Arabidopsis thaliana: one gene and its partners. The protein of the gene in region 1 interacts with the protein of each later gene in a pairwise test. Each region holds a gene or a part of one and is shown on either strand. Other genes may lie near its edges. The genes, in order: AT5G02530, UAP56a and EIF4A1.

Evidence for each region.
Region 2: the proteins of AT5G02530 (region 1) and UAP56a interact in a two-hybrid assay, tested with the Arabidopsis thaliana proteins (one study listed by BioGRID).
Region 3: the proteins of AT5G02530 (region 1) and EIF4A1 interact in a two-hybrid assay, tested with the Arabidopsis thaliana proteins (one study listed by BioGRID).

The regions. Positions count from the first base shown.
Region 1 is NC_003076.8:560,235-569,352, reverse strand, and holds AT5G02530 (RNA-binding (RRM/RBD/RNP motifs) family protein), read left to right. Parts: upstream 1-3,427; 5' UTR 3,428-3,576; coding exon 3,577-3,765; intron 3,766-3,897; coding exon 3,898-4,083; intron 4,084-4,174; coding exon 4,175-4,243; intron 4,244-4,327; coding exon 4,328-4,566; exon of another isoform or gene 4,567-4,825; coding exon 4,826-5,021; 3' UTR 5,022-5,268; downstream 5,269-9,118. Other genes in the region: AT5G02540 (NAD(P)-binding Rossmann-fold superfamily protein), read right to left, coding at 278-509, 627-744; AT5G02520 (dentin sialophosphoprotein-like protein), read right to left, coding at 5,513-5,559, 5,648-5,705, 5,778-5,836, 5,923-6,004, 6,096-7,243, 7,335-7,452, 7,567-7,711, 7,796-7,884 and 1 more; AT5G02510 (UDP-glucose 6-dehydrogenase), read right to left, coding at 8,493-8,582, 8,686-8,862, 8,946-9,118. UniProt on the Arabidopsis thaliana protein: Export adapter involved in nuclear export of spliced and unspliced mRNA.
Region 2 is NC_003076.8:3,548,024-3,559,310, forward strand, and holds UAP56a (DEAD/DEAH box RNA helicase family protein), read left to right. Parts: upstream 1-5,072; 5' UTR 5,073-5,174; intron 5,175-5,291; 5' UTR 5,292-5,310; coding exon 5,311-5,423; intron 5,424-5,655; coding exon 5,656-5,756; intron 5,757-6,077; exon of another isoform or gene 6,078-6,213; coding exon 6,214-6,386; intron 6,387-6,485; coding exon 6,486-6,717; intron 6,718-6,797; coding exon 6,798-6,916; intron 6,917-7,600; coding exon 7,601-7,657; intron 7,658-7,749; coding exon 7,750-7,934; intron 7,935-8,042; coding exon 8,043-8,187; intron 8,188-8,277; coding exon 8,278-8,361; intron 8,362-8,455; coding exon 8,456-8,519; intron 8,520-8,612; coding exon 8,613-8,623; 3' UTR 8,624-8,995; downstream 8,996-11,287. Other genes in the region: APT5 (adenine phosphoribosyltransferase 5), read left to right, coding at 2,751-2,841, 2,922-3,032, 3,261-3,353, 3,439-3,588, 3,680-3,738, 3,892-3,963; GLR2.6 (glutamate receptor 2.6), read right to left, coding at 9,238-9,810, 10,029-10,435, 10,546-10,861, 10,973-11,287. UniProt on the Arabidopsis thaliana protein: ATP-dependent RNA helicase involved in pre-mRNA splicing. Required for the export of mRNA out of the nucleus. In addition to ssRNA and dsRNA, binds dsDNA, but not ssDNA.
Region 3 is NC_003074.8:4,588,572-4,598,486, forward strand, and holds EIF4A1 (eukaryotic translation initiation factor 4A1), read right to left. Parts: upstream 6,190-9,915; 5' UTR 5,687-6,189; coding exon 5,676-5,686; exon of another isoform or gene 5,559-5,675; coding exon 5,490-5,558; coding exon of another isoform or gene 5,486-5,489; intron 5,406-5,485; coding exon 5,302-5,405; intron 5,212-5,301; coding exon 4,781-5,211; intron 4,700-4,780; coding exon 4,134-4,699; coding exon of another isoform or gene 4,094-4,133; coding exon 4,015-4,093; 3' UTR 3,685-4,014; downstream 1-3,684. Other genes in the region: AT3G13900 (ATPase E1-E2 type family protein / haloacid dehalogenase-like hydrolase family protein), read left to right, coding at 52-140, 244-331, 428-637, 718-843, 929-1,027, 1,125-1,316, 1,400-2,110; AT3G13910 (hypothetical protein (DUF3511)), read right to left, coding at 2,113-2,162, 2,564-2,861; AT3G13930 (Dihydrolipoamide acetyltransferase, long form protein), read left to right, coding at 7,669-7,701, 8,090-8,183, 8,453-8,517, 8,614-8,699, 8,792-8,832, 9,014-9,069, 9,154-9,228, 9,312-9,404 and 1 more. UniProt on the Arabidopsis thaliana protein: ATP-dependent RNA helicase which is a subunit of the eIF4F complex involved in cap recognition and is required for mRNA binding to ribosome.

The DNA of each region.
Region 1 (9,118 bases):
TGTTTAGAGCGAAAAAATAATGTCATTGTCACAGCATTAAACATCAAAAAAGAAAAAGCTGCATAAATAATTATTGGGTGTCGTTGTTTATTACCTAACTAACGTAAATAGTAGTACTACACAATAACAGAGGAATGGTAACCAAAACAGTGTTAATTAACGTTGTTAATGTGGAAACCATTCAAAGCCTGTAATTGTCATAAGAATCAATAATCCAAACGCTAAAAAAGGCGGTGCAAACGCTTTAAACTGAATGAGAGAAAGAGAGAATGTGTACATGAGGAGATTGAGAGGAAGATGGAGGGCATGAAATTCACGAACAAAGGCTTTGATGGATTTGATGGAAGAGAGATCTAATTGAAGAAGAGTGACACGTGCGTTTGCGTTTTGTCTGAGAATCTCTGTTTTGGCGTTTTCTGCAGCTCCCATGTTTCGGGCACCGATCACCACATGAGCACCTCTCTTCGACAGCACTCTCGCTGTCTCCATCCCTATTCCTCCTGTCCCTCCTTATTACAATAATAATAAATCACATACCAAGTTTTGTTAGCAATAAATAATTAAAACATGTTCAAAAACGTAGCGATGTAATTTTTTTGTAAATGTATGCATATGCATATGTGAACCTGTGATAATTGCAGTGAGATTAGTTGCATCAATCCCTTGAGTAACCTCTTCAGCTGTTGAAGCTGAACCAAATCCACTTGGTCCTCTTCTTCCTGTGATTAGTGAATATAATCCCATTTTTAATAGATTGACCTCAAGAAACAATGTAGAAGAGAGAGAGCGAGAGAGACAAGAGAGGAAGAAGAAGATAGGTTTGGGAGAATAAAATGGTACTATGAGAGAATCATATATATAAGTGGCAAAGAGTCATTAATGCTTATTTTTGGTACCTTCTAGTTTCATGGACCTTATTGTGTGAATTTATCCATGAATTATAAATACACATTAAACCCATCCCCACCAATATTGAATATAGATATGTACAGTATGTATATTAGTTTTTTCTTGTGACGGTCGATTCTCGATAGTGCATGCATTCGAAATCTAATTAAGAAAAAGTTCGTATTTTTCTTCGATATAGAAAATAAACTCGCTGTTGTCAACTTAAGCATGTCTATTTCTAAATAAGTTGTTGTTAAGGTCTCTAAACTTTTAAGTCCTTTTTCTCTAAAAAAACCCTTCTAATATTGGTTCTAAATTGCCGACAATGGCGAGTGTTTTCCCTCTCTTATTATTCGAAAATGTTACTATACCATAAAAGTTTATTAATCTTTACATAATTTACACATTACTTTCCCCTTTTCAAAACGAACAAAATAAATCGTTTGCTATCAAACATGTTAATGTACGTTGGTAGTAATGTCCCCTCCTTTTTTAGGGGTATTTAATGTCCTCTCGTTTTTCGAAGATTAAAACAAAAGAATATGATTTGTGTGTATAGAAAAATGAACATAATCTAAGTAAACGTTACATTTGGGGATTGATGATTAATCCCAATTTTTGTTTTTTTTTATAAAAAAACACTGAAAGGTATTAAGGTGCTCTAAGCTATTGAAAAACAAAATGTTGAATAAAAATATAGGGATGACCAAATTATTAATGAAAGGTTGGTGAGAAGCCGTTGGTTACTATACTGAGTTTTCAGCTACTTGACATCCTCCTTTCTTCACATGTTTCCAGTGAATGTGTTACCACTTACCCAAATCCCTCCTAATTTAGGGGCGAGTTTCATTTAATTAACCATCTAATTAGTTTCATTTTTTCCCCAAAACTTAGGGAGGTTATTATGCAACTAAACCGATGACTATAGTCTAAACCAACAAAATCAAAGTGGTGTGGGTTTGTTTCTTTCATGTAGAGACGAAAATACTTGACTTTGTCATCCATATTCAAACCTGCATTGGATGTTCTTGATAGAAAATAAAGAAGAAAACCTAACATAACTAAACAAGGTCTCGTACAAATTTTAAACAACTGAAGAGCATAAATCTTATACTAAAGAAAATCATTAAAACTCTACTCAAGAATACTTCATCGGTCGTTTACAGAGTTTTTGACCGGCAGATAAAGAAAGATATATACTTATTTGGATAAAGAAACAATACAGAATGTATAAAATTAATTCATAGCCCGTGCTCATAGATATCGATGTTCCTTTCACATCCCGTTTCCAAGTTCAGAGAATCCAACTACGAGATTTGGATCTTTCTTTTTTTTGCCTTGCAAAATTGATTGCTGAGAGAGCCTCATAATGACATTGTTAGGTGGTAGATTTACACAAAGGTACACACACACACCACTATCGAGATTAATGCCATATTTATTATTGTTATTATTGTTTCAACATACTAATTCGTGATTTAAACAATCAAAACCTATAATGCTTTATGATGTAAAACTGATAGTTGAACAAACTTGTCGTGGTAGCTGAGAGTATATTCTTTTCAAAGCTGAACTTATATTTAGCGATTATTTTGTTTGTTTAGTACTCTATAACCGGTTAACATTATTTTGTTTGGCATGCAACGAAACAAATCTAAATAGAATGGACCAACCTACATTTGTAACTGCTTCAGTAAAAAAAAAAAAAAAAAAAAGAAGAAACAGAAGAGATTATATTGCTAGATCTAGCACCTATATATTAGGATAGTCGAATTATGTAAGTAGAATAATGAAGGCATTTACTCTATCTATCATGTTTTTAGCGGCGACTGGCACATGACATCCGGCTCATTGGCTCATTTGTATGGGGAAGTGATGTGACCATGTGAGACTATAACGTCTAACGATATTGACTATTTATTTCCTTATATTATATTACTGCCAAAAAAGGCAGCTCAAAAAATACTATTGTGCAACGGTTATTATTCCATGGATCAAAGATATCAATAATTTTTTGTTAACCACATTTTGTTTTTATCAACATATTTAAATATTTTGTATAGTAATTAATGTGTCATCATTTGAATACAAATCTGTATATCATATAATAAAAAAGTCCACTTAACCATTAAAAATTTCATAATTCGTCTAGAATTCTACATAAAATCTTCTGGTCAGGTTATAAAGATGTCTTTAACACTCATGGTACAAGTAATTTGTTAAATAGCAAGGCAAGATTTGTTTTCCAAATTGAGATAAACAAAGAAAAAAAAGGGTTGACTTACTAATATTAATACGTGAATGTGTATGTACGTTGTGATACAGTCACATACTGTGCCCATACAGGCAATGCGTGTGCTTCACATGTACTTGTCCACATCTTTGATTATGACAATGGCCGGAGGGAAAAAAATATAATAAGTTGAAGTGGACAATGAGGATGGGCCACTGGATTTTTATGAGTCCAAAAGGCCCATTAAGAACTCAGGGGTCTATTTAGTAAAACGTAAGAGTTTAAGGGCAACAAAACAATATTGATTAAAGCTGAGGTGTTTATCGTAATTCTCCGAGAAGATAATATCTGTTTCTCTCTCTCTCACTCTCGCGGTGCGTAATTCCATCTTTGAAATCTCAGAGCAACAAAACCCTAGCTACATTTCTCGATATCGGAGAAAAGATCCGGCGAAGATGTCAGGTGGCTTAGATATGTCACTTGATGATATCATCAAATCTAATCGAAAACCTACTGGATCTCGCGGCCGAGGAGGCATTGGAGGTGGCAATAACACCGGTGGTCGCGGTGGTTCCGGTTCTAATTCCGGTCCGTCTCGTCGGTTTGCTAACCGCGTAGGAGCCAGAACGGCGCCGTATTCAAGGGTCAGCCCATTGATTTTATATCTCTCCCTTTACCTTCTCTTCCTTCAAGAATCAGAGAATTCCTTTTAGGGTTTTTGTGAAATCAAAAAAAGCTGAGATCTGTTTTCGTTTCTTCTTTGACGAATAAAACAGCCGATTCAACAACAACAAGCTCATGATGCGATGTGGCAAAACGACGTCTTCGCGACTGATGCGTCTGTGGCGGCGGCTTTTGGGCATCATCAGACTGCTGTTGTTGGTGGTGGCTCGTCTATCGAGACTGGAACTAAGCTTTACATTTCAAACTTAGACTATGGTGTCTCCAACGAAGATATCAAGGTTTGTGCTTTAGAAGTTTATTATAGTTCCAGTCTTACTTATGAGAAAAATTGTGGTTTTGTTTCTGATCTTGAGATGGTTTTGCTTGTAGGAGCTTTTCTCTGAGGTTGGTGATCTTAAGCGATATGGGATTCACTATGATAGGAGTGGAAGATCAAAGGTACTTACTTGATAAGCTTTATTGTGCTTCAGAGATTTGTTTATTGAATCGTCTTGTCATGATTAAACTTAATGATGCTTTCAGGGGACTGCTGAAGTTGTTTTCTCGAGGCGTGGGGATGCATTGGCAGCTGTCAAGCGTTACAACAATGTTCAGTTGGATGGAAAACTGATGAAGATAGAGATTGTTGGGACTAATCTTTCTGCTCCAGCTCTTCCCATTCTTGCTACAGCTCAGATTCCTTTTCCTACTAATGGGATACTTGGCAACTTTAATGAGAACTTTAATGGCAATTTCAATGGCAACTTCAATGGAAACTTCAGGTTTGTCTTGTTTCCACACTTTGTTCAATATGGAAACTTCATAGTATCATTTGCTAGGGTCTATCAATCTATTGCTAAGTCAGTTAGTATCTTGATGAAATACTTATGTTTTGTTCTTCTGTTAAGATGGCCTATGTTTTGTTCTTGAGTTAGTATATTGACGAAATGCTTTTTTGGTTAGGCCAAGTATATCCTGATAGGTAGATTACACGAACCTTGTACTCCTATTAAATATTTTGGATAACCTGTTATGCCACAGAGGCAGAGGAAGAGGCGGTTTTATGGGGCGTCCTCGTGGTGGTGGTTTTGGCGGTGGTAATTTCAGAGGTGGCAGGGGAGCTAGAGGACGTGGTGGTCGTGGCAGTGGTGGAAGAGGACGTGATGAAAACGTATCTGCAGAGGATCTTGATGCTGAATTGGACAAGTACCACAAAGAGGCAATGGAAACAAGTTAGAAAGGGGAGATTAAACCTATTGCATGTCTACATGTATTCCTTCCTTTAGTGCCGATATGCTTTTGTATTAGTATGATCTTTAGATTGAATGTCAATGGGTCTGACATTTTCGAGCTTTAGCTTTTGTTTTTTCTTCTCTTGGTGAGCTTCTTAGCTTTTTGCAGTTGAGTTCAGAGAAACAAGCATTGTGTGTACCGTGGAACTCAAAACTCTTCTAAAATATCAATTCAAAACACAATTCTATCTACTCTCTTACTACGTATACTTTGTCGTTTCAAACTTTTGAGCTTGAAGCAAACGAGATCCACTATGAATTTACTTTGTAAAAAAAATAAAGGAAGCTAGTAATACTAAAATATTAAGAGAGTTTCACGACCAACAAAATGATTACAGACAGGGTCAGAGACCATAACAAACCTACTTATTAATTATGATTACAGGGTCAGAGACCATAATAAACCTACTTATTAATTACGAAAGTTTGAAATAGTTTATTTGATTTTCAAGTTTCTTCGCTTTCGAGAATCCGATCCTTTTCCTATCAAGAAGAAGAAAGAAAAAAACAACAAATATTGTATTATATAGTGAAAGCCGTTTTCATCAAAAAACAGCTTTAAAGAACTAACCTTTAGATGGAGCGGAGTTAGTCTCACTACCATCCTTTACTTGGATAAGGTTCCGATCCTGCAAACCCAGACAATGTTAAAGACTCTGTTCCCATGGTTGGTCTAGTGTTAAGGAAATCAAATCACAAACCATATCATAAACAGGAATTTGGTTACGCCAAAACTCTAGTGATGACACAAGCACCCTTCCTGCAAAACATTAAACAAAATTCTTTTTTTAACTAATGCTTTCAACAGAGCCCTTTGGAAGTGAAGATTTTCTACTCTCTATTAACCTGATCTTGACCGTTTCTGTCCCAATGAATCAGTAGACGCCGCATTGGTCTTCTGCTGCTTCACTTTTTTTTCCGGTGTTACCTTTGAATTACATAACAACAAGAGCATTAACACTCAAACAGGAATATCAGAGGATAACCATGTAAGTGGTGGCATAAGGGGAAGTGGTTACCTCCACATCAAAGTCGATTTTCCTCTTTATTTTTTCCCATGACAAGTTTTCTTCAGCTTCTTCAGCTTCAGACCTGAAATGATTCATAGGCTCTACAACATTGCTGTTACTTTGAAGGGTCTTCTCACTTTTCTTTGATTTTCCTTTCGACAGGGGATCTTGAAATGCCTTCGATACCTTCACTCTACCTTTTCGCTGTACTGACGTCAGTGATTCTTTAGTAGCATTCTTACTTGTTAATCTTTCAACATCTGTACCAGAAAGCCTTTTACCAAATCCCTTCACTGGTGATATCACTTCATTATTGATAGCCACACATACATCTTTTTCTACGTCATTGCTCTTAGCATTATTTAAACCTTCCTTACTATGTTCTGCAACATTACTAGTCGGACTCTGGAGTTTACTCGCATCGATTTTCCTTTTGTTTTCCGCACTTTTGACTTTCGTCCCAGAGTAATTCATGGGATCTACTACATTGTCGTCACTTCTGAGGATCTTGCCACTTTTCTTGGATATTCCTTTCTTTTCAGGTTTGCTACTCTTGGCTAAGTCTTTAAGCAGGGAATGTGGAGATGCTGTTGTTACAAGTAAACCATTTTGCTGTTCCGAAGTAAGTGATTCTCCAGTAGCACTTGCACTTGTCACTTTATCAACATTATCTGCACCGGTATGCTTAATACCACTTCCAACCGCTGGAGATATCACATCATTATCGATAGCTTCGCTCTTATCTTTTTCTACATCACTGCTCTTAGCCTTAATGAAACCTTCACTACCATTATCTCCATCATTACAAAGATTCTGGACTTCACTTTCATCGAGTTTCCATTCACTGTCTTCATTATTGATAACCTCACATCCATCTCTTTCTACATCACCGCGCTTAGCCGTATTCAAAAATTCACTACCATGATCTCCATCATTAGCAGTCTTCCGGACTTTACTCGATTCAAGTATCCTTTTTATTTGCAGATGAAGAGACCTTCTCCTTGCAGTTTTTATATCTCTTGCTCCAGAACCACCTTTATCATTAATCTCTGCAATATCAGTCTCAGTCACATTGCTTTTCTCTCTGCTCTCAGCTGGATTATCCTTAAGATTCCTGTTAGAGTACTTACAAGGTGATAAAATGGGAGGACAAGCTGCTAAGAAATCATAAAACAAGGACATATCAATAAAACATAGATGCATCAGAAAAAAACACACACACACAAACACATTGCTTCAAGACCTAACCTTTCTCGATAGTCGAAGGGACGGTATTAACATCAGTGCCAAAAGAGTCTCCTTCAAAGCAACTGTTACAAACTCGTTCCCAACAAGGAGGAAACCCGAAGATGAATTCACGAGAAATCTATTCCCAAGACCAGACCACAGAACAAAAGAGAAAGAACAAATCAAAGTCAGTTCTTCTTCCTTAGTTCTTAGATAGATCAAGTTCCAACAAGTTAAGCAATCTTTAGATTACCTCAGGGTTAAATCCATTTTTAAGAACGCGTTCTTTGTTAAGAAAACCTCTGAGAGTGATATAGATTCCATCAGATGCTAAGAGTGTGAAAACATCCAAAGCTTTGGTGATTGGTGAAGATGTAAACACACGCATTGCTCTTGTCCTATTAAGGCAAAATTCGAAGAATTCAAAAACTAAATCGTTTCATAAAAAAAAAAGAAACCTGAAAAGTCCAAAGCACTCTTACTCGACGGACTCTTCGAATCCAGCAACACCAAATTGTTTCCCTTCGAATTCCTTTGGGCATTTTATCAACCACCAATCTCTCAGCACCACCTTTATTCGAAAAACCCAGATGAACAAAAAGGCGGATTTAGAACACTGATTGAATCAAATACGAGGAGATGAAGTAAGAAGCTCACTCACCGTTTTCTGGAAAGACGACTTGGAACCATCTTCGTCGAGATTTGGTTCCGTCATCGAGCTGGATACTATCTTAATTGAGAAATAATCGGAACCCTAGGAGATTCTCGAGAGGAGAGATTCGTGAGATTTAGTGAGCAAAATTGGGGAAAAGTTTAGGGTTTAAACTGTTTGGAACAATGGGAATGAAAATTGCTTTGGCGGGGAAAACTTGATCCGGTTTAGATAACCAGTTTGGTTTAAAGCTTGTGTATTTTGGTTCTCGTTTCCTGGTTTTCTACATTCTCCGGTTTAAATAACAGGTTTGGTTTAATCCTTGTGCGGTTTCTTCGGTTATAAATTTGTAAACAGAAATTATTTTTGTTTTATTAATGAGAATTGCCCTAAAACAATTTGCAAACAAACCATACAAGTAAAGTCTTTAGTATTAAAATTTGCATGACTTGAAATTCAGTTGACTAATAATACTTCTTAAGGTCCTAATGACTATAAATGACTATGTAGTAAACAATCATATAGTTTTAGTAGATGTCTGGAGGCAAATTCCCTGAGAAAGAAGTCTGTTGTTGTTGTGACCTTTGAAGATGGAGTTTCATGGCGTAGTTGCTAAGCTGATGAATGATATCCACAAACGAAAACGAAGGGAAAATCAGTAATCCGCTGATTTATAAGATTGATAATTCCGAGAATTTCTAGTAGGCAAGTTAGTTATACCTCTAGCTTATGAACTTGTTCTTGGTACTGCCCCACCACGCCTCTCAAATGCAGTACTTGTTTGGCCTTCTCTTCGTTTTCAGAGCTACGCTGATGTTGATTCGCAATGACCCGCTTCAATATTTGGTTATCATTGATCAAACTCTGTAGACTCTCCTTCATCGACGCATATTCAAGCTGCAATGAATTGGGAGCTCTCTATTTGTTATATTATCTAGGCCCAAGAAAACCTGAGCATTATCAATGTCATCAATTTATACCTTCTTCGAGGCGTTGGTGTTCTTCTTTATGATACTCTCTAAAGCTTCTAAGATCACTGCAACACGTCGCCTCATGTCATCAATGTTTATCGCTTTTGTCATCTCGGATACAAGTCTATCAACCCATTTAGCTCCATCGATCATATCCTCATCGTTCCAACTTTCCACAGATC
Region 2 (11,287 bases), 3.0 Mb from region 1:
TGAGGAACCCTACAAATTGAAATTAGGATATCGGAGAAGCCCGCTTTACAGTGAAAAAAAAAGTTGAATTTTGAAAATATCAGGCGCAACAAAAATATCTGGCCTCAATCTAAAACTCTTGGGCTTACATATAAATTTGATATCACAAGGCCCATTATTTTATTTTTAGGATTTTTGGGCCTATATATACAGAAACTCTTGGGCTATTTTCTGTATGGGTAAAAAAAACAAGCAGTAGTATAATCGCCCATCATGAAGCTAGTTGGAATAAATCCCTGTATAAACAAAAGTCAAATGAAAGTGTAAAAAAGCTGTGAATGATTTTTGTTATAAAGCTATAAAGTTAGACAACGAGATTTGGGATATCTCCTCGAAGTTGTAACTTTATTGTTATTCTATCTCTCTACTTCAATTTTTTTCCTTTAGGTTTGTGGTGGGTTTCTCGGTACGAGGTTCATTTACCCTCCCAACTATACAATAGACTTTTGTTTTTGTTTTTTTGCTTTTCACCTTAAATCTTATCTACCTCATATTCTCTAAATGTAATCAGTGGAGGAACGATCTAATTAACAATATACCTATCTAGAACACGACCTAGATAATTTACATCATTAGAAATATTTTGTTGGTTAAGCTTTTAGATATATACTATGCTAGCTTTAACAAAAAAACAAACAGAAAAAACTGTGTTAAGAGAATTTTGTAAGCTTTTAGAAAAATACTATGTTAGTTGAAATTCTATTGTCCCAAGTGTTGTTTGGACTGTTTTGTTTCTTTGCATAGTTCATGTAGTGGGCTTGTTTGAGTTTTTCTTTATCGGAGAAAGATTATTCCTAAGTGAAGTCTCTTTGTATGTTCTCTAGTGAAGCATGAAAGACATCACTGTAAATTGAATCAAAACAATACTTGTTATAGTGGAATTCTTGTGAACTATGATCATATAGATGTTAACTTCACAAAATCTTGAACTTTGAAAAAGTTTCACTTGTAATTATACGTTTGTTATTTATTTTGGAAGCTAAGTGGTTTTTGAGGTCGAGAAATCATTTAGGCGGACCTAACATGGGCTAAGGAAATCGTAATAAACACATGCTTCACGAGGCTAGTACTTCTTGAACTGTGTATTTGGCGGCCTCGTGCCATGCAAACAGAGCAGTATATAGAATTTTCATAGAAGCATAGAAGATACCAATAAAATATCTTCGGTGAACTAGCACAAAGCCACAAACTTCAAATCAGTACTTCACATTTCTGACATGAAATTTTGTTTTAACATATATCGTTAAAATTGAAATTGCTCATGAAAAGGGGTATGATTTAACTTCTCAAAAACATGGTCTTCACTTATATATGAAGTCACCAATCCATTATGCTAATTTCTTACATATTAGCAATTATTTTGGGTCTTTATTTATTGAACTCTTATTTATACCCGTTTTAATTATTAGAAGAGTCTAGATCTTTCACACGTATTTAAAAATAATATTTAAAATTTATTCTATATCCTTTACTAATCTATATAGAGCTGAACTAAATTATAGAGTTATATGATTATATCTTAAACCTGAATTCAAAACTAACCCCGTACCATACAAAAGAAATTTTGTTATACAAGTTGGCATGTACCACTCAATTCTGGACGCATATTGACTCTATTGCTGATTTATTTGTATTCGGTGATCTGCTCCCCATGTACTTTTTTACTTACGCTTTGAATTCACATAAAAACCTGTACTACTACTATCTAAATGTTATAAACGCAATCTACAAAAATCAGTACTCGTACAAACACAAACAGTGTAATGTAGGAGACAAGAAATATAAAACACCTCGATTTAAGGAAAAAAGAGGTAACTAAAACTAACACAAAGGCTCCGAATGGTGACTGCGTTTTGCGGTGCGGGAGAAGTGCGGTGCGGTTCAAATAGTAACGAAAATACATATGTAGAGATTTTGATACTGTTACAGCACTGTTGCAGTGCGGTTTTAGGTGCGATTTTGGTTAACATTAACAGCCAAAATCTATTATCCCTACGCCTACCAATATAAAGTTGTAAAAACTTATTTAATACACATTACAGTTCACAAAACTTTTAATATAGTAAAAAAAAGAGAGGCAAGTGTAGCTGTGTATGGAGGAGACAAGACACAAAACATGGAATGTGAACTAGTTTTAGGAGAATGGGTACTTCTTTTTATAGAAAAATGTTTTTTATTTTTGGCAGAGTATCGAATCTCTTTCCTTTATAGGTCTTTTGATCGAGACTCTAGTAAGAAAGAGCTAAAGGCCAAAAGATTCTCTCGAAGATCCATAAGATTTTCTTTTCTTCTTCGGATCTTTCTTCACTCTCTTTAATACAGTATCCATTAACGCTTGTGATTGTGATTTTATTGCGGTTCATAAAAACCTGTGTGCCGACCCAGTTCGCGCGTGTGGTACACACACTCTTCTCCACTACTATTAAATATTAAATGCTCTCTCACCCACTTTCTATACAACTGGTGGTGAACAGAGGAACAGAGCGAGACAGAGACATAGAGAGAGAGAGAGAAGAGAGAAGATCTGATCTCATTTCATTTCATTTCCTTCTTCTGCGAGGGAAATTTATTTGTTTCCTACTTTGAATTCTTCCCCATTTACTCTCTCAAGAGAGAGAGAGAGTGCGAGAGATTAATACACACAAGTGAAGACGCTCCTTAACTCTCTCAGAATTGAAACTTTAGTGAGAAAGAGAAGAGAGAGAGAAAAGATGTTTGCGGCGGAGAATGGTCTCAAAGGAGATCCAAGGCTTGAAGCTATATCAGCAGCCATTAGGGTTGTCCCTAATTTCCCTAAGAAAGGTCTTTAAAACTTCTTGTTCCTCTGTTTTTTCTGTTCTTTGTTCTGTTTTTGCAATTCTCTGAAGTTGTTTCTTGGACAGGGATTATGTTTCAGGACATAACTACGTTGTTACTGGATCACAAGGCGTTTAAACACACAATTGATATCTTCGTAGATCGTTACAAAGACATGCAAATCTCTGTCGTTGCTGGTAAGACTCCTCTGTTTTTTTTCCTTTGTTCTTCCTTATCCTCTCATTTCTTTACTACAGTGTTTCGTCATCAAGTTTGTTAAGTAACGCCAAAAACTATGTGTCTTTCTAAAATGGGTTTACATCATATAAGCAAACAAAAGACAATTAAAAAAAGGAGAAACAAGAATTGTCTTTTTCTTCATTAAGAAATTAATATGTTTGTTTACATCCAAATGTATTATATAGGAGTTGAAGCAAGAGGTTTCTTGTTTGGTCCTTCCATTGCATTAGCCATCGGCGCAAAGTTTATCCCTTTGCGTAAACCAGGAAAATTACCAGGTTTTTTTACTGCATTATCTGTTTTGGTTATTGTGATAGAGAAGCTCTTGAGATTCTGAAAAATTGGCGAAACTATAAAATATAGGGAAAGTGATATCGGAGTCTTATGAGCTCGAGTATGGGCATGACCGTTTAGAGATGCATGTTGGCGCTGTTGAGCCACGCGAACGCGTCATTATCATTGATGATCTTGTTGCTACTGGCGGCACTCTTTCTGCCGCAATGAGCCTATTGGGTTTCTTTCTTTCTTCTTGTTTTCTTTTTCAGTTTTTAAAGAGAATTTTTTGGTCTTGAATTGTAATGTGATACAGTTTGACGTTTTACAGAGAGCCAAGGAGCTGAAGTTGTTGAGTGTGCTTGTGTTATTGGCTTGCCTGAAGTCAAGGTGAGTCACATTTATCTTACTTGTCTAAGAAGTTATCTCTGGTTTTGTTCTTTTGAAATGATTTCTAAAATGTAGTGATAGAGTTAGTTTTTTTGTTATAATCTCAACTCAAATTTGCTCATTGAGTTTGTGAAAATTTTGAATTGTTTTTAGGGGCAACACAAGCTCAAAGGGAAGCCGCTTTATGTGTTGGTGGAGCCTAGTGGATTAGATGAGTTCTGTTAGGATACATACCGGTTACTTCCGGTTCAGTTTTCTTTCCCTGCAGAGTTCATGTTCTTTTTTTCAAAATTTCTAGGGTTCCAACTTCTTGTATTCGTTCTCGTTTATTGATCTCTGTAGATTTTGAATTTTGATGTGTACTTTCCACGGCAGTGGTTGGTAAAAAACCGAGATACTGAAAAGAGTCTTTACATTTCCCGGTTTGGTGGAATTTCTGATGGATCACTAACTCATGTTAATCAGTTTATAATAACTGTAATCATTAAAAGGGTAAAGATACGTTCGTAATTTATGCGGGAAATCTAAAAAGTACAACTAGTAGGTTTACTAAATTTAATGCTGATATTACTGAGCACTGATAAAGTTGGTTGTATTCTACGACAAAACTATTCATTACTGCAATATTGGTCCATATTTTTGCTTCAGCACTGCTGCAAGTTTTTCTTTGTTTCTCCCTAAACTTAACAACTTACTTCACTGATTTCAAATTATAAATTGAAAATCGTTAATAAAGTTTTCATGATACAAATTATTACATAAGCAAACTACTGTATGTGTTATTTATTGAAGACTATAAAACAATAAAAGTGAAAGTACACAATGGCTTTCCTTACAAAGCTTTATTTGCTAATAAACAGAAGAGTCTGATGGATAACTTGAGAACTCAGCAGAGCTGGTTAGATCGCGAAATCGGATTAGGGTTTCGAAATCTCTGAATTGCAAGAGTAAAAATATCTGAGCTTCGTCCAAACGATTCCAAAGAGAGTGAAAGATATGGTTGAACTCAGTCTAAATTGGGTTTTGTTTTAATTAATGGGCCTACAATTTTGTTGGGTCCTTGAAACAAAAACATTGTTATTAAGGGAAATGAAATATCTTAACTAAACCAATTTGTTATCTATTGTGCTCTACTGTTCTGTTCGTATTGACTCGAACCCACTAAACCAAGACGAGCCCTGACCGTCATTGTCTAAATTGACTCGAACCCACTAAAGAAAAAAAGAAAAAAAAACTTAGATAATAATTGGCGCAGAAGGGCCGATTAATAAAAACTTTAGGCCCATTAAAGTAAAGCTTATTGTCAACCCTATCCAGTCTCCTTGTATATATTTATTTACGACACCAACGCGGCGTTGGTGATTCATTCTCTTCAGTCAGAGATTTCGAAACCCTAGTCGATTTCGAGATCCAACCAACTCTGCTCCTTATCTCAGGTAAAATTCTCGCTCGAGAACTCAATTGCTTATCCAAAGTTCCAATGGAAGATGCTTTCCTACTGAATCTTAGGTTAATGTTTTGGATTTGGAATCTTACCCGAAATTTCTCTGCAGCTTGTTGAATTTGCGAAGTATGGGAGACGCTAGAGACAACGAAGCCTACGAGGAGGAGCTCTTGGACTATGAAGAAGAAGACGAGAAGGTCCCAGATTCTGGAAACAAAGTTAACGGTGAAGCCGTGAAAAAGTGAGTTTTATGATTTCCTCGATCTGTTTCATGAGATAGTGGATGTTTAAATTTAGGGTTTTCTTAGATTACTGCTTGATAACAACCGACTAAGTTCTTCAATTATCTATGTGTTTGGTTAGTTGCTTAACTTTATGACAATTGACTAAGTTCTTCAATGCTAAAATTCCTGGAACCTACCCAATATTAGACGGTCATGTGTTTATCATCTTGTATTTTCTCTTTGTGACAGAGGGTACGTGGGAATACACAGTTCTGGATTCAGAGACTTCCTTTTAAAACCGGAGCTTCTCAGAGCTATTGTTGACTCTGGATTTGAACATCCATCTGAAGGTTATTACAATGAAATACACCCTACCTTTGACTTTTCTGCCTTGCCTTTCACCATTCTATTACCGAATGATATTGTATAATTTACAGAAGTGACTTCTCCATAAGATGTTTTAGTTGTCCGGAAACTTTTAATTATATGTACTTCGTCTAGTTTTGAGAAGATATGTTGGTTAAAGATATTTTATACTTTATCTTGGTCCTTTGCTTATCATCTAACTAAATTAAAAAAAGTTTGTGTTGAGGTCAAATTCTTTTTTATTTCCTGTTATAATGGTTTTTGTTTTCTTTGTTTATTAACGTTTCACTGATTACTTTTTCCAGGTAATAAACGATATTTCAATCTATTGGTTTGGAGTGAGCTTAAACATGTGCTAAAGCCACCAATTTAAAAGATATGGAGGTTATCATCTACTTATAAAGGCTTTCTTCGGTACAATTTTCTTTGGTTCTCCACCAGTGCAACATGAATGTATCCCTCAAGCTATCTTGGGCATGGATGTCATCTGCCAAGCAAAGTCTGGTATGGGGAAGACTGCTGTGTTTGTCCTGTCTACTCTACAACAGATTGAACCATCTCCTGGCCAGGTTTCTGCACTTGTCTTGTGCCATACAAGAGAGCTAGCTTACCAGGTATGACCTTCTTGTTTCACTCAGGTTCTTGGCTTATAGTTTTGTTGTACGTCTTCTTCCTCTAATGCTTTTTGCCTTGATGCTGACAATTACTTGCAGATCTGCAATGAGTTTGTGCGATTCAGTACCTATCTGCCTGATACAAAGGTTTCGGTGTTCTATGGTGGAGTCAACATTAAAATTCACAAAGACTTGCTGAAGAATGAATGTCCTCACATTGTTGTTGGTACCCCTGGTCGGGTGCTTGCACTTGCCAGGGAGAAAGATCTCTCTTTGAAGAATGTGAGGCATTTTATTCTTGATGAATGTGATAAAATGCTCGAGTCACTTGGTATGCTGATTTCTGACATCATTATTACATCGATCCCTGAATAATTTTATGTTTTAACACTTTAACTTTTTTTTTACCAGACATGCGAAGGGATGTGCAGGAGATTTTCAAGATGACTCCTCATGACAAACAAGTAATGATGTTCTCAGCAACGCTCAGCAAAGAGATACGCCCAGTCTGCAAAAAATTTATGCAAGATGTAATGTTCCATGGCCAATTCTCTCTCCCTTTGCAAGTCTTCTAGTTTTCAACTATTTTTAGCCTTCTATGAGTGATCATAGCATTAGTTGAGCGTCTTCTGCGGTTCTGCCCTGGAAAAGCGGCAACTGATCTCTCAATGGGTCTCAATCCAATAATGGTTGGGTAGTTTGTAGGGAACGAGAACTGTGAGTGTGAGACTCTGTAGCTTTGGTATGGTTTCTATGGGTGATTATAGCATTATTTGGGCATCTTCTGCGGTTCTGCCCTGGAAAAGCTGCAACTGATCTCTCGATGGGTCTCAATCCACTAATGCTTTGGGTAGTTTGTAGGGATCGAGAACTGTGAGTGTGAGCCTCTGTAGCATTGGTATGAATGAGTGACCATTGCACAACAGGATCTTCTTTCGTCATTACCTTTTATTCAGTTTCAATTTCTTTGCAATTCTAGCAGTGCTGGGTGGGTTTTGGGTGGGGTACTGTGTTGTCCCAAGGTTTCATTGTGATTGTATGGGCCTTAATGTTCCGAGCAATATCGCTGTATCATAGCAAAACTCACATCTATGAAGAGAACCTGGTGGACGAGGATCTCAGATCAGGGGTTTTACATCCATCTTCACTTTTGTAGTGTAAATCATTTCCTGAGAAAAGCTTGCTAATTATTACCTGATATCTATTCCTTTCAGCCAATGGAAATATATGTCGATGATGAAGCCAAGTTGACTCTTCATGGGCTTGTCCAGGTACTCTTATCTGGTGTTAGGTCTTCTTATTCAATGGAAATATAGTTTGTTGTTTGATACTTAAAAGACCTTTTACTGTCATACTGTAACAGCACTATATCAAACTGAGCGAGATGGAGAAAAACCGGAAGTTGAATGACCTTCTTGATGCGTTGGACTTCAATCAAGTTGTCATTTTTGTGAAGAGCGTGAGCAGGGCTGCTGAGCTGAACAAGTTACTGGTGGAATGCAATTTCCCCTCAATATGCATCCACTCTGGAATGTCTCAAGAAGAGAGGTCTGTACATTCTCTTCAAAATTCAATGTTTTTGAAGGACCCTACCTGCTCTTAAAGCCCTCATGGAGAGGAGTCCAATTCTTAAGGCTAATACGATATGTTATGTAGGTTGACTCGATACAAAAGTTTCAAGGAAGGGCACAAAAGGATCCTTGTGGCGACTGACTTGGTAGGAAGAGGGATTGACATTGAGCGTGTCAACATTGTCATCAACTATGACATGCCAGATTCTGCTGATACCTATCTTCACAGGGTAAGTATATAATACTGAAATTTATTATTTGATTGTTGATCTCACTGAAAGGGCTCTTGTAACTTTACCGTTTTGCTGTGTATGGTATAGGTTGGCAGAGCTGGTAGATTTGGAACCAAGGGTCTTGCAATCACATTTGTTGCATCTGCTTCAGATTCAGAGGTTCTTAACCAGGTATGGTGTTCAATCTTTGTAATAAGTCCACGGAAAACTCCTCTTGAAATTGAGTTGGATATTTAGTAAAGTGGCAATTATAAATCTTGGACAGGTACAAGAGAGGTTTGAGGTTGATATAAAGGAACTTCCGGAGCAGATTGATACTTCAACCTACAGTAAGTGTGAAATCCCTTACCAATTGTTTGTTTAAAAGCTTGGTTTTGTCTGGTTGTGATATTAATGTTGTTTCTTCTTCTTTCTTTGTTCAGTGCCTTCTTAAACAAGTAGCACGTCCCTCAGGAAAGAAGCTCTTCAGATTTCAACCTTGTAGGTGTTCGAAGGGTGATGGGGGTTCACAACTATCTCTCGCTCCGTTTGTTTTAGTGTTTTCTATGACGACATTTTTTTCCATATGTTTAGAACGTCTGTTGTACTCTTTAAAGGAGATTCGAGTCACTCTCCAAATCGCACAGTTAAAAGCTGTCCAGTTTTTTGTACAAGAGATTATTATGTTTGAAATATCAGGATTTAGTCTCGACCTGATTACTGTGTTCCTTAGGAATCGATCTATTATCAATTTATCATGGTGTTGCTAAGAATCGTCATTCATCAGCGTTACTTCCTTCATGTGATGCTTTTTTTTTATAACACATTTCATTTAGTGTGGAAGAGATACAACACGTATATATGGTTACTTTATATATTGAAAAGTTTATATCCAAGGAACAATGGTTAGGGGAAAAAGGCAACTTGAAGGAGTCAATGTGTCCTTGCCTATTTGTCTTTTGACTTTTTAAGAGGCAAGTCTGTTGCCTTTGCATGAGAAAAAACTCAAAAAACAACACGCAAAAGAACATAATAATTAGGTTCATTCAGAAAGACTACGATCAGAGCCTATGCAGACTTAATCCTCGAGAATAGTGCAGCTCTTCGGGTGGGTATTGTTTTTGAGGTGATCAGATTTCTACGGTGAACCAAAGTTGGGTCGACTTCCACAATAATATCTACTTCATTTCGATCTCCAACATTAACTTCATCATTCAGAAGCTGATCTTGATCATCGGCTTCATTTAATGCTGGACCAGGTGGCTCAAGGACTTGATCATCAATTGGCGGACTAGTCGGAGCTCTCATGTTATCATCTGTTGGCTGATTAGGTGGAGCTCTCATGTTACCATCTGTTGGCGAATTATTAGCATTGATCTCGCCGCTTTTGCTTTCTTGGCGGTATCTTCTACAAACCAACATGGCTAAGAGTAGAAGCATAGAAACAACAAAGACGATCGTAAATAGAGCTTCAAAGCTGTGGTGATCGAGCCGGATTGGAGAATCCGATGTGGTTGAGTCAAGACAATGTTTTTCTCCGAGGAGCCACTTATTCTCTATAGCTTTCATGGTCTCTCCCTCCGTTATATTCAAGATCTGTCTTGAAAGATCTGGCACCAAAGGAGATCCCAATGGAAAGGCCTACAAAAAAAATGGAGATCCAAAAACACATTTCAAAATCATATTAAGAACAAACTCGATGGTTTGAACATATTTTCGTAGCATGGATAGAGTCTATATTTTATTCGTAATGCTATAGACCAATACTTTTTAGTGGTAGCTAAAAGCGGTTTGTACTAGTCCCGCCCCATCCTCTGCCACTATTCAAAGCCTAGATAAAAGTAACCAGGTTTACTTACAAAGCCAAAGCCATCAGCCTTAAAGGTAGGCTCGATAATGGTATATTTTGAGCAATATTTAGCCATGAAAAGCTTGACATAAGCGACTTCGTCGAATGCAGCATCAATACCACCATTGCTGCTCTTTTTAAGAAAAAGCTCATGCATTTCCTGAGGAGTATCATAAGTCTTTAACCTCGATTCTTTGTAACCCATTTGTTTCAGCCTTTCGAATGTAAAGGAACCAGTTTGATATCCAATGTTAACTCCACTGTTCCTCAGATCATCCATGTGTCTCACTGTTGGTCGAAGTTCTTGAACCGTCAGCATCGATGTCAATGTTGCTGTGTAGCTCTGAGTCAGAATAAGCAACACAAAGCACCAAACTACCACAAGAACCCTTGTGAAAATGCTCTCCGATGGCCTCACTATAAAAAAATGTGGTTATATCAGATTCTTTTTTCAAAGATTTGCAAGTAATTGGAATGATTAGAAGCTGAAGATGTGTGACAACAAAAAAAAAAAAAAAAAAACTCACTGTGTGCGAAAAAGAGAGTCGAAAATGAGAAGTAGAACACATTAGATATTTTATTAATAATGCTCTGTTTCCTGAAATCACCACTTGCTTGGTACTCAAAAATCCAAACCATGATCCCAATGTAGAGAAAAGAAGCTGCAGTGAGGAACCAGAGCTCCCTTGTTAAAGGCTTTAAGAAGACCCATTTTCCTTTTTCCCTCTCATCCTTGACGGGTACCACGACTACAATACCCGTCTCCGAGTATGGCAACGCGAAATCTACGTATGTAGACCGATTAGCTAAGATTGTGGTATCCCCTACTGCTCCATCAAACTCCTGTAAGAACAAGAAAAAGTTTTATAAAGGTCTCATGATTTCGGCTAATAATTTACATTTATGATCAAAAAAAGAAAAAAGAAAAAACTTAGGGATCAATATGTAACTTACCCCAAGAAATACATGATAAACCATTTCGTCATAACTTCCACGGGGTTTTCCATCAGGAGTTTCAAAGGGTATGTACTCATAGGGGACAGCATAAGGCATTTGTCTCATTGCCGTGTCGAAAACATCTATGCAAAACCCGGTGATCGTTGGAGCATTAGTATTTGCATCTTTTGTTACCTCCACAAAATTATTGAAACCATCCTTCTTTGGAACTGCTATTCGCAGCTTCTTTGCGTTTGTTGGGAATTCCCAACCTTTAGGCACAAAAATAGTGTCCCCTGGCCATATTATCGGTCTAAGGCGGTGCGAGCTGTG
Region 3 (9,915 bases), on another chromosome or scaffold:
ACTCTAATTTTTGAAATTTCCTTTCACCTTACTGTTTATTGTTCGTTTCAGGTGCCTCAATGCATAGATAAACTTGCCCAAGCTGGTCTTAAGATATGGGTTTTGACAGGAGATAAGATGGAGACAGCAATTAACATAGGGTGTGCTGTCCTTCTATGTTGCTGATAATACCACAACTCCAAATCTTGGAAATTTTAAAATAGATGGTAAGTGGACTAAGTTCTTTGTTTTCTTGAAATGCAGATATGCCTGCAGTTTGCTGAGACAGGGTATGAAGCAGATATACATAGCTCTAAGAAATGAAGAGGGATCATCCCAAGACCCAGAAGCAGTATGTATTAGGCTGATACTATAAAATCCTACATTACTGTTTACGTTTACAAACTTGTTTTGATGTGAGAACTTGTTTGTTGTTTCTAATGGCCAGGCTGCGAGAGAGAACATTTTGATGCAAATCATAAATGCTTCACAGATGATCAAACTAGAGAAGGATCCACATGCAGCGTTTGCTTTGATCATTGATGGAAAGACACTTACATATGCTTTGGAGGATGATATTAAGTATCAGTTTCTTGCCCTGGCAGTTGACTGTGCTTCAGTGATATGCTGTCGTGTCTCTCCCAAGCAGAAAGCGCTTGTAAGATTGATATACCACAAGTCCTAGTTAAATCTTCTTATTGTAGATGGGAATCACTTATTTCTATCTCGGTTTTCTAGGTAACAAGACTAGCAAAAGAAGGAACAGGAAAGACGACCTTGGCAATTGGTGATGGTGCAAATGATGTTGGAATGATTCAAGAAGCCGATATAGGTGTAGGCATCAGTGGCGTGGAAGGCATGCAGGTAATCAAATTTGTTTTCAATGTAATGCGACTTTCACATTGGTCTATTTCTGATTGCACATACATTTCTCATTTTTTGTTTGCAGGCTGTAATGGCAAGCGACTTCTCCATAGCCCAATTTCGGTTTCTAGAGAGACTACTTGTTGTCCATGGGCACTGGTGCTACAAAAGAATAGCCCAGATGGTAAATATCTGTGAATTATACTTGATATTTAGACAGGCGCATCATTTACACACCGAACAACACACAACCTGACCTTGATTCATATTCTTTTTGCCAGATCTGTTACTTCTTCTACAAGAACATAACATTTGGTCTGACTCTCTTCTACTTCGAGGCTTTCACCGGGTTTTCTGGTCAAGCCATATACAACGACTCCTACTTGTTGCTGTTTAACGTTATTCTCACATCTCTCCCTGTCATCGCCCTTGGAGTTTTTGAGCAAGACGTGTCTTCAGAAGTCTGCTTACAGGTTTACACCTCTCTTGCTCAGTTATATCTCTTCAATCTAAACCCCTAAAACCCTTCTTCTAATATAACTTTCTCTCTCTCTAGTTCCCAGCACTGTACCAGCAAGGCCCCAAGAACCTGTTCTTTGACTGGTACAGAATCATCGGGTGGATGGCAAATGGAGTCTATGCATCCGTAGTCATATTTTCCCTCAACATTGGCATCTTTCATGTCCAATCTTTCTGTTCTGGTGGCCAAACAGCAGACATGGACGCAATGGGAACTGCAATGTTCACGTGCATCATCTGGGCAGTGAACGTACAGATAGCTTTAACCATGAGCCATTTCACATGGATCCAACACGTCTTGATCTGGGGAAGTATCGTCACCTGGTACATCTTCCTTGCCCTATTTGGCATGTTACCTCCAAAAGTCTCAGGAAACATCTTCCACATGCTCTCGGAAACCCTAGCACCTGCACCAATCTTCTGGCTTACCTCACTGCTGGTCATAGCCGCCACAACACTCCCCTACTTGGCTTACATTTCGTTCCAGAGATCGTTAAACCCTCTGGACCATCACATCATCCAAGAGATCAAGCATTTCAGAATCGACGTCCAGGACGAATGTATGTGGACGAGGGAAAGATCAAAGGCTAGAGAGAAGACCAAGATTGGAGTGACAGCTCGTGTTGATGCCAAGATCCGCCAGCTGAGAGGAAGGCTCCAGAGAAAACACTCCATATTGAGCGTTATGAGCGGTCTGAGTGGCGTCTCAGCATCAACTGATACAACTTCCACCACACAACATAGTTGAACTCATCCAGTAAGTTTCCTCTTTCTCGAGAAAAAAAATCCATTAATTGGAACTGGAAGGAAGCAGACCAAAGAAGAAAATTGGGATTGAAGATAATAGGCAACAAAGAAAGGGACAGAGAATGTTGTATTGTGTGAGTTTGTGTGTGTATACTAAAGAAAATGAAAAGAAAGAAAGAATTTGAATAGAGTTTCTTATAAATAGATTCTTTTTCTTTCTGAAGAAAGAATTGGTTTTGATTGTAACTGAAGAAGTATGGTCATATTCACATGTAGATATGAAAACTGATTTCATTCATTATCTGTCTCATTCAAGTTCAAAGACTCTTCTTCTACATATAGTTGCAAGAGAAAGAAAATACTATCAATTTTTTGTTCGTTACAGATATATTTAACTCTCACAGCACAAAGAAGAGATTTTAAGAAAGTTGAGAGAAGGTATATCAAGAAATACCGATAATGTCTTTGAACCATTTGAAGCTCTTTCGAATGGATCCCTTCATCTTCTGTTCAACGGAATAAACTTTGTAGCCAGCGACTCTTCTCTTCCTCCGCGATTCTGGATCGCTGAAACTCCAGCTTCTTGACGCCGCACGATCCGCGTTTGGAACGCTTTTGCTTTTCTTTATCTTTAACTGGTAATCGTTCGTTTGACTCTGATCGCCGGCTGAATCGTCGAAGCTCCCGCTGTTGTAACCTTTCACTGCGTCTCGACGGTTTCCAGAAGCTGGCGGTTCGTAATAATTCGCCATGGCTGAGTTTGAGAGTTTTGGTCTGAACGAAGAAGAGTCGTCGTCGACTCTGTTTTTAATAGATTTTGATTGTCTTTTTAAAAGTTATAAAAGGAAATTTTAATAAAACAATATGTTTATTTTCCAAATAATTAAAGGTATCTTTTTTAGAAATCAATTTACAATTGTCATGTGGAGTTGGTCAAGGACCTACTTGTGTTTTTTTTCCCTCTTTTTTTCTTCAAACGAATTAAGTTATTCAACTTAGAAATAGAAAGAAAATGAATACGTAAAATTGGTATGAATCACTAGACTTTTCATGTGTTTTTCTTTTCTTATGATTTATAATGATGGTTAGGTTTGTGTGGATGTGATGATTTCCCAACTATTTCAAAATAGGCACGTGGATTTGTCCAAACCTGTAATTTCTCACAGGAAATAAAATTTCTTTCATAGTTTCGTGAAGAAACTTTGCAGAAGTTCAGACCAATAATTTCACTTTGATATTATAAAAGTGAAAAACCCTTGTCGGTGGTAGGCTTGACTCGGAATCATTGAATCCACATCCATAAAATTTTGAATATACTTCTTTTGAGAAAAAAAGGAAATAGTACATCAAAACTATTAGATATAATATTTATTTTCCATAAGGCTAGAAATATAAAGAAGATGCATGAAAAACGAAAGATAAAGCGAGTTCGTCGCTGTGTCCAAACAGACTTTTGATCAGTAGATTTGTCGTTAAAGCAGCGCCTGAGAGAGTGTGCCAATGCTTCATCCTTGATTGATGCAATGGAAAAAAAGTAACCCCGACTATTCAATTAATTTGTGAGCCAAGCATTTTAACCAGTTTGACATAAACATATAAAATAAGTTTAATGCTGAGATATAGATTTGAAAAAGCTTAAAACCAAACTTTGATGAAAAGATTTGATTGATACAAAAATCAAAGACAAACAACAAAGCCGAATATTAAAATAGTGAAGAAATAAATACTCCATATGACTTAAACTTAAAAATGGTCAAGAAGAGAGAGATATGTTCGTAGCTGGGAGAGAGAGGAGAGAACAACAACTAAGAAAATTTAAGAAATGTAAATCGCTGATAGACGACGGGTCAAAATCAGATCAAAGAGTGCCTTGCAAAACAAGAAAACCTTTCTTCTCCGGTGATACTAGTACGGCAGAGCAAACACAGCAACAGAACCGACTTCTTTTCTCCCTTCACAGCAGATCGGCCACGTTCGAAGGCAGCTCTTCGACAACCACATTGTAGAATTTCTGAATATCAAACAGCATCCTCTCATCATCACGGGTCACGAAATTGATCGCAACACCCTTTCTCCCGAACCTTCCACTTCTTCCGATACGGTGAAGGTAGTTCTCTGGCTGAGTTGGGAGATCGAAGTTGATAACCAGGGAGACTTGTTGGACATCAATACCACGAGCTAAGAGGTCAGTGGTGATGAGAACACGGGAGGAACCAGACCTGAACTCTCTCATGATGATGTCCCTGGTGTTCTGGTCCATGTCTCCGTGAGTTGCAGAGACTGTGTGGTCACGGCTTCTCATTTTGTCTGTGAGCCAATCAACCTTACGCCTGGTGTTCACGAAGATGACACTCTGAGTGATGGCAAGAGTCTCGTAGAGATCACAGAGTGTCTCGAGCTTCCACTCTTCTTTCTCAACGTTGACGTAGAACTGCTTGATACCTTCAAGGGTAAGCTCATCACGCTTCACCAAGATTCTCACTGGCTTGCTCATGAACTTCCTTGTGATCTCAAGAGCTTCTGGTGGCATTGTTGCGGAGAACACACCAACTTGGATCTTTGGTGGAAGAAGCTGGAATATGTCATAGATCTGAAAAAACCCAGAAACCAGTGAGATTCAAGTTAAACTATAACGAGAATGGAATTGAAACACTGAGAAATATTTGCATACCTGGTCCTTGAAACCACGGGAGAGCATTTCATCAGCTTCATCGAGAACAAACATCTTGATGTTGTCAGCACGAAGAGACTGCCTCTTCAACATGTCAAAGACACGCCCTGGAGTTCCAACAACAACATGGACACCAGCTTGGAGGATGCGCTGATCCTCACGGACACTGGTTCCACCAACACAGGCGTGAACCTTGACACCAAGGTAATCACCAAGGGCCCTCATGACCTTCTCAATTTGCTGAGCAAGCTCTCTAGTTGGAGCTAGAACCAAAGCCTGACACTGGATAAGGGAGAAGTCCAGCTGCTGCAAGACACCAGAGCAGAAAGTTGCTGTTTTCCCAGTACCAGACTGAGCCTGTTGAATCACATCAAGACCCTTACAGAAGGGGACGATTCCTCTTTGCTGAATAGCAGAAGGCTTCTCAAAACCTAAGAAAAAACAGAAGCACGCATGAGATAATGTTCTAATCTAAGACATAAATCACAAAAGATAGCTTTTTCAAGTTCCTACACACATACCATAAGCATAAATACCCCTGAGAAGGTTCTCTTGAAGACCCATGGCATCAAAGCTCTCATGAACATCATCATAGGATGTGAAGAACTCATCTTGTCCCTCAAGTCTGTATCAATACAGTACAATTAGCAGCTAGAGCATGCGGAGAGAACACACTCAAGAATGAAAAAACAGAAGTAAAAAGACTCACACTTCATTGAGTTTCTGGTCAAACTGACGTGCATCAAACTGTGTGCCTTCTGGTGCAGATCCTGCCATGCTACATAAAAAGAACAAAAACAATCAGATTTCATATCAAAAGGAAGAGAGACAACACCTATTTTGATATCGTTAATAATATGATTGCAAAGGAGGAAATGTGACAAGAAAGCCAAACTCGAAGTCCATAAAGAGAGGAAAACAAGCATTAATATCTGCCTCAGATGATGTGCGGAGAAAATGTATAAAGGCACATATGGTTATCTATTAAACATAGACACCACTCAACCTATTTCTCCAAATTACAAAAAAAAACATTCAATCAGACAAAACCAAGTGAGTGTTAAGACAAGAACATCTGAGCTTTGAAGACGATTCATTTCATTCTATTGAGAGACTAACCTAGCCGTAACAAAATCTACAAACCCATCAACAAATCTACAGATGTGTAGATCCTAAATTTAATAATCGTCATCATCAGCAGCTCAGAATCTAATAAAGAGAACAAAAACGAAAGCACTTCCACAGCAAAAAAAACGATCTTGAAGTAACGAAAAATCAAAACTTCCAAATCAACTCAACAAAGTTGAAACCAAATCTATCGGAAAACACAAAAAAACAAATCAGAACAATCCAAAAGTAAAGAAACAATCATGAATCGTAAAAGTTACATCGAGATAATAGATAGACAATCCGATAGGATGCGAACCTGGAGCAAAGTTGGTAAGCGAGAGTAAAGGGCTTTTTTCAGGGAGCTTGAATCTCCCAAACTCGGATCTGAACCGCGTTGAGAGAGAGAGAGCAAAGAGAAGAGCGAAGATTGCGAGAGACTGGTGGAATATCCGAAAGAGGCTGAGAGAAAACGCGTTACCTTGTTTATATACTCCGTCTTTAGGGTTTTCTCCTTTGGAAATCTTCTCCTTTTCTTTTTCGGATTTCCGGTTTTACCCCTTTATTCCCTTTCTTTTTACTCTTTTGGCTCGGACAAGGTTTTCCAACACTTAGCTCATTGTCTTAACTTGATTTTGGCAAAAATAAATAAACAAATATCTAGTGGGAAATTAGGAACATAAATTCTTCATTTATTTTGTGACTAGCAAAGAAAATATTCTTCATTTATTTTATTTTCTTTTCCAAAGCTTTCTTTCTCCTGCAACTTTTATTGCTTTTTGACGTTACAAAGCATTTTCCCGATTACAACGAGGATATTAGAAGAATAAAGTGACTGATAAGAACGTTTTATCTGAAAATGTCTTTACTTATTAACACATCTATCTCTCTATGTTGAATGTTTAATCATGTAATTGTTCCACAAGTGATATGAAGAATCCTTGAAACGAAGCAAAACACATTGAGTAAGAAGAAGGTAACTAGCTAGTATGAAGAAGCAGCAAGTTGCTATCTATCTTCAACAAAAAATGCTTTGATTTTAGCCTCAAGAGACTTTCTTAGAATCTGTTGCCATTGAAGAAAAAGCTGGAGAGGGCAAAACATAATCATGATGCTTAGGATAAGCAAAAAATATGTATTTAGCTTGTGTAGGTAGAGGAAGAGCTAGGAGTTTTTTGTGTGACAGGAATCGAGGGAAAACGATGGGCCAAAGATTAGGCCCATTAATAAGTTTGACTAATCCCTGCCGTTCATTAGATGCCTACGTAATCACTAACGCACCTGATGATCTCTGTCTTTTGGTGAGACGCAAAAGCTCAGAGAATAATAATAGGGCCCAATATAATAAAGTACAAACCGAAATTTGTGAAGCTTAATTAGTCGGTTTAAATACTTTTATATCGGTTATGGTAGAATTGGTGTTGGTACGATACAATCTGGTACATGTAAGGCAGCATTTTGCCATTTCTGAAAAACCTAAACACAAAACTATCTTCATCATCATCATCAAATCCCAGCTTTCTTCCAAGTGATCCTTCACTCTCTATACTGCGATTTACCGTTCTTCTGACTCTTGGTGAGTTCTAGATCGAATCCTATCTTCCATCCACATATTTACTGTTTCAAAATTGGATTGAGTACAAGTCAAATTCATCGATCTCGATCTCTGATATAGTTGCCGAGGGAAAAAGGAGAAACCCCCTAACAAACATTCCCACCATTTTTTTTGTTATTTGCAGTTGCGAATTCGGATCGGCTGACGCAGCTCCGATTGCACAACAATGGCTTCTCGTATCATCAATCATTCCAAAAAGGTTTCTCTTTCTCTATTTTTCATTTTTTTCTGTGGTTTGACTACCATTTTTGATCTTGTAAAACTGAGTTTATGCATTCGTTCTTATGTGTTTTGCTCTGCCAATCATTTTTTTCTGAACTGAGGTTCGTTTTCCGGGTTTGACTTAATCTAATCATGAATTTGGTATTTTTAATTTGATCATGGGCAATTCTGCATTTTGCTATTGAGAGCTTTAGTAACCTCCTTGTAATCTGAATTGTGATTAATGTAGTAGCTTCGCTTTATGATTCAATTGTGGTATTAGCTATTCATTTTATTAGTACAAGAAGACTCTACTTTTACAGCAGAGTAATTGTATGTTGCTCTTTGTAAACACTATTTTGACGATTGTTGTGTTATCTGACCAGTTGAAACATGTTTCCGCTTTACTGCGGCGTGACCATGCTGTGGCAGTCCGCTGTTTCTCCAACAGTACCCACCCCTCTCTCGTTGGAAGAGAAGGTAATCCAGTCAGCTTTCTTAGTGTCCTCTTCATTGCTATCCTTAAGTTCATTTTATGTAGAAATGTGTGGTGGTTTCTTTTATTTGATACGGTAACAAGCACCACACAGTACTCTGGGATGAATAGTCCAAGTTTGACTTTCACATCGTTTTCAACATGAAGAACATAACAACGTTCCAACTTTAATTAATTGAAAGTTGGTATGTTTTGAGTATATATTATGCTTCTCGCTTAAGCATTTATTTTTCTATTTTTATTTGGTCTTCAGATATCTTCAAGGCCCGCCTGAATTATTCCTCTGTAGAGAGAATTTCAAAATGTGGTACTGGCAATGTAAGTCCCTGCTGTTCAGTTTCCTTTCTCGTCTTTGCTTTGTCACGTAATCGTCTGTGTTTTTTTGGTCGTAATGTCATTAGCTGCATTATATAGGTAACAATGCTTAGTGGTATTTCAACAACGAGCACAAAACTAAGCAGCCCAATGGCAGGACCAAAACTATTTAAAGAATTTATAAGGTATGTAATCCATTTACCGATGAGAATACAACTTGCTACCTTCCTGTATGAATACTTCTATCCTAACTGTAAGCTTCTTTTCTTGCTTTTAGCTCCCAGATGCGATCAGTGAGAGGATTTTCATCCAGTTCAGGTATTTAGTTCTTTATTGTAACTTCCCGCTTGTTCTAACATATATTTTCACTTGAATTGTACTTTTTTTTGTGAGCATCTGACTTGGTTTTTGTGCCTTTTGCGGCCATCATATTTCTGTCACTGTGTATATGCAGCATACATGGTTTGTTTTACTGATAACTTTTTAAAATATGTTTCAGATCTTCCTCCTCATCAAGAGATTGGAATGCCTTCTCTTTCGCCAACAATGACTGAGGCATGTACCTCTGAATACCTCTTACGAAAATTAACATGGTTTATTGTTTTATCATTCTACTAAAGATATCTGTTGAAACTTCAGGGTAACATTGCCAGGTGGCTGAAGAAAGAAGGTGATAAAGTTGCTCCTGGTGAAGTGCTTTGTGAAGTTGAAACTGTAATGATAATCCTGATTGAATCTCTTCCTGTATTGATTCTTATGCCAGGAATAAAACACTTATCTCAATCTTAATATTTTAGGACAAAGCAACAGTCGAAATGGAATGCATGGAAGAGGGTTTTCTCGCCAAGATAGTAAAGGAGGAGGGGGCAAAAGAAATTCAAGTTGGGGAGGTATGAGAGTTTCTGACTTTTGGAGACTTGTTAATTATAATGGGTTCTCATGAAGTATTTGATTGTGAGCCCTATGCTCCCTTTAGTTGAAGATCAATGAATATTCAATAAAAATGACAAAGATCTTTATCTTCATTTGTAGAATCACATATAAATGGTCCCTTTTTTTTTTGTCCAACTAGGTGATTGCTATCACAGTTGAAGATGAAGATGATATTCAAAAGTTTAAAGATTACACACCCTCATCCGATACTGGTCCCGCTGCGCCTGAAGCAAAACCAGCTCCTTCCCTACCAAAGGAAGAGAAGGTAGAGAAGCCAGCCAGTGCTCCTGAAGCCAAGATCTCTAAGCCAAGCTCAGCTCCTTCAGAAGATCGTATTTTTGCCAGTCCTCTTGCAAGAAAGTTGGCTGAAGATAATAATGTCAGTTTCCAGACGAAAAATATTAGTTAAGCTCGTGTTAGATCTCCATCTCTAATTTGTTTTTCCTACTTTTCCTTTGAAAAACATTA